Linked DNA regions of Tribolium castaneum. The protein of the gene in region 1 interacts with the protein of each later gene in a biochemical or structural test. Links are inferred from orthologs where the notes say so. Each region holds a gene or a part of one and is shown in the gene's direction. Other genes may lie near its edges.

Region 1 (4,224 bases):
AAATGTGGCCGCAGAAGACAGTATTGAAAATAGAAAGAAAGGAAGATAAAAAACTATTAAAAAATAGAAAAATATTATACTCCATTAGATATTACGATACGCAAATCGCGTATCGTAATGACCTCAGTAGTTACACAACTTTTGACTCACTTGATTATATCCTTGAGTATGGAAGACAAGGCAGCCCCCTCGAAATTTATCATAAAAACAGTTGCGGGACAATTTCTAGATAAACAGGAGAAGCAAATGTCGTCAAAGTCGATTTTATAAATCTTGAAAGTTTTTTTTGTAATATTACCGCCATCGTTTTGTTTACATTTATTTAGAGGTTAGATTTTCTGCACGAAGTCATTTTCATTTAACACGACATGATTGTAACAATTTATTATAAAACTGGTCGTTTTAACGTAAAAATACACATAAAAATCAAGCTCTTGTCACTCTAGGTCCACTCATCATTTTTTCTCTAATAGCCCACCTCAAGTCGGTTCTGTTGTCTTCACCTGGAATTTTTTGTCGCTTCCAACACTTTTGATATTGGTGGTAGAGTGCGACAGGGTCACTCTTATTAATATTTGTTTGAATTCCCGGTCTTATGACTACAAGCTTAAACGTAAAAAAACTTACAAACACTTTAAAATACTTACAGGAACTTTTAGGTTTGCTAGAATTAATCATTTTTTTCCAAGGCACATCTTTAACGGGCACAAAGTCAAGCGTGTCTTCTTGACCCTTTTCAGGGGCTGTTTGTGCCTCCAACGTGTTTTCGTGACAATGGTGTTGTGGTCCTTTACTTGTCTTGATTTTTAACGAAATTACACTTTCTTTCTTTGAAACTGTTTTGGCTCTTGAAGAGTGAGTCCCTTGTGAATGTAAAACTAGAAACACATCATCTTTATTTTTTTCGTTTTCGTTCGGCACATCTGTTTCATTTCCAAGGCTTTGTTTGCTTCTCTTGCGTTCTTCATACTTTATCAATTTTTTCAAGTCTGAAAACCAAACTTTTGTTCAATTAAAGTAACAAAAAATGACTCACCAACCGTAAACAAATTCTTTCAATTGTTGTGGGTTAATGTTGTGATAACCCAAGTCATTTAAATACGCTAATACTTCCCTAGGGCTTATTTTTGTGGTCATTTTTAAGAAAAAAAATAAGAAAACGTTGAAACAAAACCTTAAATTTCTAGGCAACATACGAAAATCAAATTCCCTAAAAGTGGGGACATAAAATAAGTGTTACAAAACCTCGCAGTTGGTTAATTTCACAATAACGTTGATTTTATTAAACACTGCTAATCACAAAATCATTTTTATCAACAAAATTGGTATTTCTTTGCAAAAAATTGCTTTCCACCCAGTCAGTTACTTTCACGAGGGTTGGTGTCCCTGCCTGTCAGCGTGACAAACATCTGATTGTCAAAAAAATGTCACGCGGAAGTGTAAGTAAACAAAAACAATCCTCTCCAAGTGTAAAAAATGATATGGACAAGTATGAAGTTATTAAATTATTGGGCGAAGGATCGTTTGGACGAGTTTACAAAGCGAAAGTAATCGCAGATTCATCTTTTGTTGCCTTAAAAGTTATCTGTAAAGTGAGTTAAAAACTGAGGCTCGAACTCGTTCAAATTTATTTCATTTAGGGTCGAAGATCGAACAAGGAAATAATTGGTCTACGAAGGGAATGTGAAATTCAAAGACATTTGCATCATCCCAATATTATACAAATGCTTGATTCGTTTGAAACTCCAAATGAGGTGAGACAATTTTTCCCAAGTTCTTTTCGTTTTTTAAACAGATTTTCAATGTACCGTACAAATGTTAGGCAACCAACACCAAATCTGGTGATTTTCGTGTTAATTTGGTGAAAACTGTATAAACATTTTGTTTAGTGATTTTAGAAAAATGCTTTTTATACAAACAATCACATTTACAAAAATTTTGATTCACTGTTCAACGTCTGTTGTTATTTTTATTTAAGTATGATTTAACAAATTAAATGGGATAGTAGAGACAAGATGGAGTTTATTTTTTTTTTAATAAATAAAAAACCAATGTAAATTAGTCTGCTATCCCAGTAATGATTTAAATCATACTTAAATTTACAAAAATTGTAAAAAGTTGTGGTGACACCAGAAATCTAACAGTATTCCTCCAACATATGTTAAATTATTTTTATGTTTAATTATTTGTAGAATTTGTGTTCGCAATGAAATTACATTTTTTCATGTTATTTTTTATTATTTTTTCAGTTTTCTTTTATTTTCGTATCGTTTAACTGCTTGTCTCATAATTTTTTCTTTCTATCTTCGTTTAATTTTGTGTGTTTTCTTTTATGCCTTTTTTGCATTTTTTTATTTTGTTTTTTTTTAATTTTGTGGGTTTATTTCTCCTGCGACATTATTCTATTCGTTGCTTTAGCATTTCTTTTTCATATTACCATTGCTTTACTTTTTGTTTTTTTTTACCTTTTGCTATATTTCTTTCATATTATATTGTCTTCAGTTTATGGCTTCGTCTTTTGTAGTTTGTCGTTTGTGGTTTATTCTGTTCTTTTTTTTCTATTCTACCGAGTGCTCAAAAACCGACGCACCAACTTATTGGAATATGGTAGAGAATTGCTTACATATAACGGTAAAATTAGTAAAAAAATTCTTTGTATTAAAATTATTGATAAATAATTATATTAATTATATTATATATAATATATATATATATATATATTATAAATATATATATATATTATAAAAAATATATATAATTATAAATATTAATTATATTTAATTAGATGATATGTGGCAACGTTGTCTAACAGTGATGATCGCAATAGAACTTAATCAACAATAAAAATAAATTATTTTTGAAACGGTTTCCTAAGTAATAATTCCCAATGTTGACACATCTACAAATTGTGATTTTTTTGACGAATTTTATTTTTTTTAATTAAAAAATCTGCTAAAGTCTGATAGGAAATTTAAAAATAATTATTCATTGTTGTGTTAGGGAACGATTACTTAGTGTGAAACATAAAACTATTAAAAAATAATGAAAACTGAAGAAGTTTACAAAATAAGTTTGTAGCTCCATATTTTTTAAAATATGACATTAGGAATTTTTTCAAGATTTTTTCCGTGATCTACACATGCTTCTCAACAGCGTACCACTGAGTTGGTGCGCCAGTTTTTGAGCATCCTGTATAGTTCTATACAGTTTTATTCTATTCTATATAGTTTTTTCTTAATCATCCTTTTTTTACATTTTCAATAATGTTTTTTGAGGCCATCTTTTCCAATTTTTTATTTTTTTATTTAAAATTTAGATTTTTTGTCTTTATTGGTTATTCTTTATTTTCTTATTTTCTCTTTCAAGTAATTTCGTAAAACAATTTTTATTTCCTTGTACTGTTTTTTCCTTATTATTTTTGCCTATTATCTATTAATGATCTTGTTGCTAAATTAAATTGTTGTAATCAGTTGATCAGACGATCTAAAAATTTTTGTTTGAAACACCAAATAAAGAGAGACAATTTTTCCTTATATTTTACTAAGTTCTTTTCGTTTTTTAAACAAAGATTTTCAATATAGTGTATAAATGTTAGGCAACCAACACCAAATCTTGTGATTTTCGTGTTAATTTGATGAAAACTGTGCAAAAATTTTGTTTGGTGATTTTAGAAAAATGCTTTTTATACCAACAATCACATTTACAAAAAATTGTATTCACTGTTCAACGTCTGTTGTTATTTTTATTTAAGTATGATTTAATAAATTAAATGGGATAGCAGAGACAAGATGCAGTTAATTTTTTTATATAAATAAAAAATCAAAGTAAATTGCTCCTTGTCGGCTATTCTAGTAGTGAATCAAATTATCCTTAAATTTACAAAAATTGAAAAATAATGTTTGTGAATTACGCAGGACTGAGTTGTGGTGACACCAGAAATCTAACACAATTTGAAATCAGGAAACCAGTTACAATCTGAGTATTCCCCCAACATATTTAAAATTATTTTTATGTTTAATTATTTGTAGAATTTTTGTTCGCAATGAAGTTATTATTTTTTCAGTTTTCTTCTATTTTCGTATCGTTTGACTGCTTGTCTCACCATTTTTTTCCTTCTGTCTGTTAAGTGAAGGGGGCGCTGCTGTTGAAATTGGCGGGAAATGATGACGCGTGAGGCGCGTACGGGCAACGCCTAGTTAGTTGGAAGGACACTGTGGAAGTGTC
Region 2 (4,233 bases), on another chromosome or scaffold:
ATATAGCCGCTGAAAGCGTTAAACAACCACCACAATCGCTTAGGCAATTTCTTGACCAGACTTTTGATACGTACGTTGGGCCTTTTGTGGCTTTCTATGTGCATCATGTAAGCCCCGTTTTGAACCACATGGGGATTGCCATGGATCAGGTTTATAAATTAGTGACGGAAAACTTGCCTGAAATAAGCGACGAATATTACATAGCACAATATTTGCCGTTTGTCAAAGTGAAAAAGGTAAATTGTCTTTTATTGAGAAATAAAGTAAAGTATTCAATCGTAGGCTAAAGCTGATAGCAGACTCTACTTCTTGTTCATTCTGGCGAGTCTCTGCATTTATTTGGTAATTAATAGATTGACGAGTCATTACTGTTTTTATGAACCACAAATATTTTTTCCAGATTTTGTATGTTTACTTTAGTAGAAAACTCTATTTTTATTACCAATATGCGATCAGGAGGGAATATTTATGTAACGTACAAAAGATCTTCAAAGTAAAGGAATAATTTTTCTGTTTAATAATCGGCAATTACGCAAATCACATTCCATAGTCTCCAGATAGCGACCATTTGTAACGTTTACATTTACATCTTGTAACAGAAAAATTTAAATAAAGGTTTTGTTGTTTTTTTATCTTTATTTATAATCAAAATCAAAAAAAAGTGGACCACATAACCTCAAATTTGTTGGAGGTAACCGCTAAAGAATTTAAGTTCTCCAGTTTATACTATGAATAATTTATTGAGGGTCACACGTAGGGCTCTTCAATGCCGTTTCTTGCACCAGACGCCCAAATCATTCGGGAACAACCTCTACGAGCCCGATTATCTCGAGGTAACCAAATATAACCTCTTAAAGTTACCCAAAAAACATTTTTTAGGCCATGAAATCGAATCTTCCAATGTACGACACTTTAAATATTCAAATTCGTGGCTACGATTATGCCATATTGGAAAATTATCAAAAGTTTATTCATAAATTATTGCGAAGTATGGATATAAGTGTGGAGGAAGCTTGGGCAACCCCCCATCAAGACATTCAAGTCACGACCTATAAACCGAAGAGTGAAATTATCAACACACAGTACAATTTGAAGCACTATGATCGGACAGTACAAATTACTGATGTTTTATCAACTCAGGTATTTAATTTTTCAAAGTGAAATGCTTGAAACTGGCACGTATTTGCAGTTGCCTGTTATTTTACGTGCACTGGAGGCTAGTACCCCATCGGGGATCACCGTCCACGTGCGGCCTCATGAAGAGTGGGACGAGGAGATTAGATACGTGCCTGACACGGAGTTGAAACAATTGAAACAGGAACTGGACGACTTAGGGGGGCCTTTGAAGAAGAAATAAAAATGTTAATTCATAAATAGTCTAATAAAAATGATTAATTAACTCGTTTGCCGCTTTTATTTAAATCCTCCATTTTGTTCCCTCCTAGTGCTAAACCCAAACTCCCCAGTTGTGTTGTTTGAGGCAGCTGTAAAATGCATTTAAAATCCATTGATTTTTAATAAATTAACCCAAACCGCCGCAACCGCCAGGTACTTCGCCCCCATTATGTAATTCCCACCACTATCCAGCCCCCAACTCAATTGTAAATTTTAGGTTATACAATGGGTTGAATTCTCCCAGGATGGAGATGCACATAGAAACGGCGGTCCGCATCCATACGTCGGGCTACTCCCCCAACGACATGGTTTGCGTGCACTCCAACCCCGTCAACAACACCATCCAACTCGCGAATTCGCAAAACTACCCCGTCAATTACGCCCTTCCAGCCGACTGTTGCCAAAACACGGTGTTCACAACCACGGCAGCCCCTTTGGTGAATTATTTGGTGGAAGGGTGCGATGTTTCGGTGGTCACGCTGGGCCAGTCCGGGACTGGAAAGTCCTACACGCTCCTAGGCCCAGGTTTCCACTGTGCGGCTAGCGAGGCTGATCACGGGATTATCCCGCGGTTTATTCGCGAAGTTTTCGCCAAAATGAAACAATACAGAGACAGGAATTGGTGCGTGCATATCGCTTGGTCGCAGATTTGTGGCGAAAACGTCCAGGATTTGCTAGGCGTTGGGAGCATCGAGTGCCGGAATATCAGTGACGTGTTTCAGTTGATTCAAGTCGGAATGTCGAATATAGCCCCCAAGTGCGCCCACACGTTGTTCACACTCACTTTGGAGCAGCAGTGGGTGGTGGAGACAAGTGTGCAACATCGCGTCTCAACTGCGAGTTTTGCCGATTTGGCAGGGACTGAGAAAGTTCTAGTTTATGACAGCAACGGGATGATGCAAACGATTCCCACTGATTTAGGGATACAGACTTTACAGAGGTGTATTATGTCGCTGTCTGATTTTAACTGCAGTTTTGTGCCGTACACTCAATCCGTTTTGACGACACTACTGAAAGACTCGTTCGGGGGGCGCGCAAAGACACTTCTGATCTGTTGCGTGTCCCCCCTTGCTCAAGACTTCACCGAGACTTTGTATACACTTCAGTTGGGTTTGAGGGCTCAAATGATCAAAAATTTCGTCACTGTTAACTCATACGCTACGTTTGAGTCAACACAAGAGAATTGTGATGTTTTCGGCCTACAGTTCGCCGCCAATCAACTCCTGAAACTTGTCTCGAACGCTGAAGAGTTGTTCCAACGATTGGTAGCGAACGACTTGTTACCAAAAAGCGAACAAGAACAAATATCACAGTGGTTGATGCTCAAACAAGAATGCGAAGACTGTTTGAGTGAAAATTCAGAGCCTCATAGATCACTCGAGCGGATTGAGGAGGAAATTGAGAGTGATAGTAGTGAGAGCGAGGCGATTGAGGAGGAGGAGAAGGAGAGTCTCCTTGATAGGGTTCAAGGTTTGATGGAGACTTTTCGCTCAAACACCGATAAATTAGTCTCTGAGGCTAATTGTGCAAACGTTACGAATTCTTGTACCAAAGAAAGTATGAATAGCTCGAATAATGAGTATCATATGAAGGGGGCACGGGGGCGCAGAGGGAGTATCCACTCGGCTGAAGAACTAAACCCTTGCTTGTCCCTCAATACGTTACGTATTAATGACGATGTCGAGAGTCAAAAAATCGCAGTTACGTCGTACGATAACAAGAAGAAAATCCTTAAACAAATCGCCACTGCGTTAGAATTGAATCAAAAAAAGATCTCTGATTTGGAAAAAACAATTCGGGTCAAGGAAAACCTCATGGAAAAGCTCCTGAAGCACAAAGACACAAAATCGAGTGCTCACCATAAAATCGAACAAAAATGCCAGTTGTTACGCAAGGAGTATAAAAACGCCGAGGTCAAGTTCTTGCAAGCGAAATTACAAAAAAATCACCACTTGGAAGGGAAATACAAGAGCGAAGTTGTGGCCCTTGAGGAGCGACTGCGAGACACCGAATCGTTGAAAAACCTGACCGAAGACGGGAACAAATTGCTAGAATTAGAAAGTAGTCTACATACAGATCGGGAGAAGTTGAAAAAGTACAAACAAGAGAAAGAAAAGTATAAACAAATCTACGAGAAACAGCTGAAGGAGGAGCGCTCTAAGTCGAAAGCGAGTTGCGAGAGCGTGCCGAAAACCCCCGATGTTAAAGTCGTTGCTTTAATTAAACCAAACGTTTCGCTAAATAGCGAAGAACTTGAAAGTCTGAGACACGAAATTCGCAACTTGCGCAAAACCCGCGACTATTTATTAGAATTGCGGTGCAAAATCACGCTCAAATCCCAGAATAAAAAATTCCTGAACGACTCCGACGAACGCAAGTTGCTGCAGTACGAGGAGGCTATTGAGGCAATAGACTTGATCATAGAATACAAAAACTCGATTTTGTGTGGGCACCTGCCAGTCAAAGAGATTGAGGATCATGGCGATCGGATGCTGATGGAGCGGTTCCTCAAACTGAGTGAGAACGAAATGAGGATCCTCCTTCATAGATATTTCGAGAAGATTATCGATTTGAGGAGCAGCAGCAAAAAGCTCGATTTGGAGATTTTGGATATTGAAAACCAACACGAAAATCTCGCATATCGTGTGCAAAAACTCAGTCATAACTTACAACTGGTTAGGTCTGACGCTGAACGGAGGATAGCCTCGCTCCAGCAACAACACGAAGACAAGTTGTACTTGGTCTTGAGGAACCTGACGGGAGATGGGGCTGATAATGAGAGGATAAGTCGGGTCTTGGGGTCGAGACATTCCGCAGTGACGGTTCAAGTGGCAGGCG

What was found.
Region 2: the proteins of fu (region 1) and cos form a complex in vitro, tested with the Drosophila melanogaster proteins (4 studies listed by BioGRID, with this or other methods). The link is inferred for Tribolium castaneum from reciprocal best matches to the Drosophila melanogaster genes fu and cos.

Annotation. Positions count from the first base shown.
Region 1 is NC_087395.1:1,160,890-1,165,113, reverse strand, and holds the start of fu (serine/threonine-protein kinase fused), read left to right. Parts: upstream 1-1,424; coding exon 1,425-1,592; intron 1,593-1,640; coding exon 1,641-1,754; intron 1,755-4,224. Other genes in the region: centriolar and ciliogenesis-associated protein HYLS1, read right to left, coding at 427-599, 648-989, 1,041-1,194. UniProt on the Drosophila melanogaster protein: Probable serine/threonine-protein kinase; maternally required for correct patterning in the posterior part of each embryonic metamere. May be involved in control of cell division during metamorphosis and ovarian development. May interact with costal-2.
Region 2 is NC_087402.1:2,906,930-2,911,162, reverse strand, and holds the start of cos (kinesin-like protein costa), read left to right. Parts: upstream 1-1,433; 5' UTR 1,434-1,564; coding exon 1,565-1,566; exon of another isoform or gene 1,567-1,612; coding exon 1,613-4,233. Other genes in the region: uncharacterized protein LOC103312599, read left to right, coding at 1-236, 283-342, 401-505; mRpL48 (large ribosomal subunit protein mL48), read left to right, coding at 729-833, 880-1,140, 1,190-1,357. UniProt on the Drosophila melanogaster protein: Regulates cubitus interruptus (ci) processing by recruiting multiple kinases to promote its efficient phosphorylation.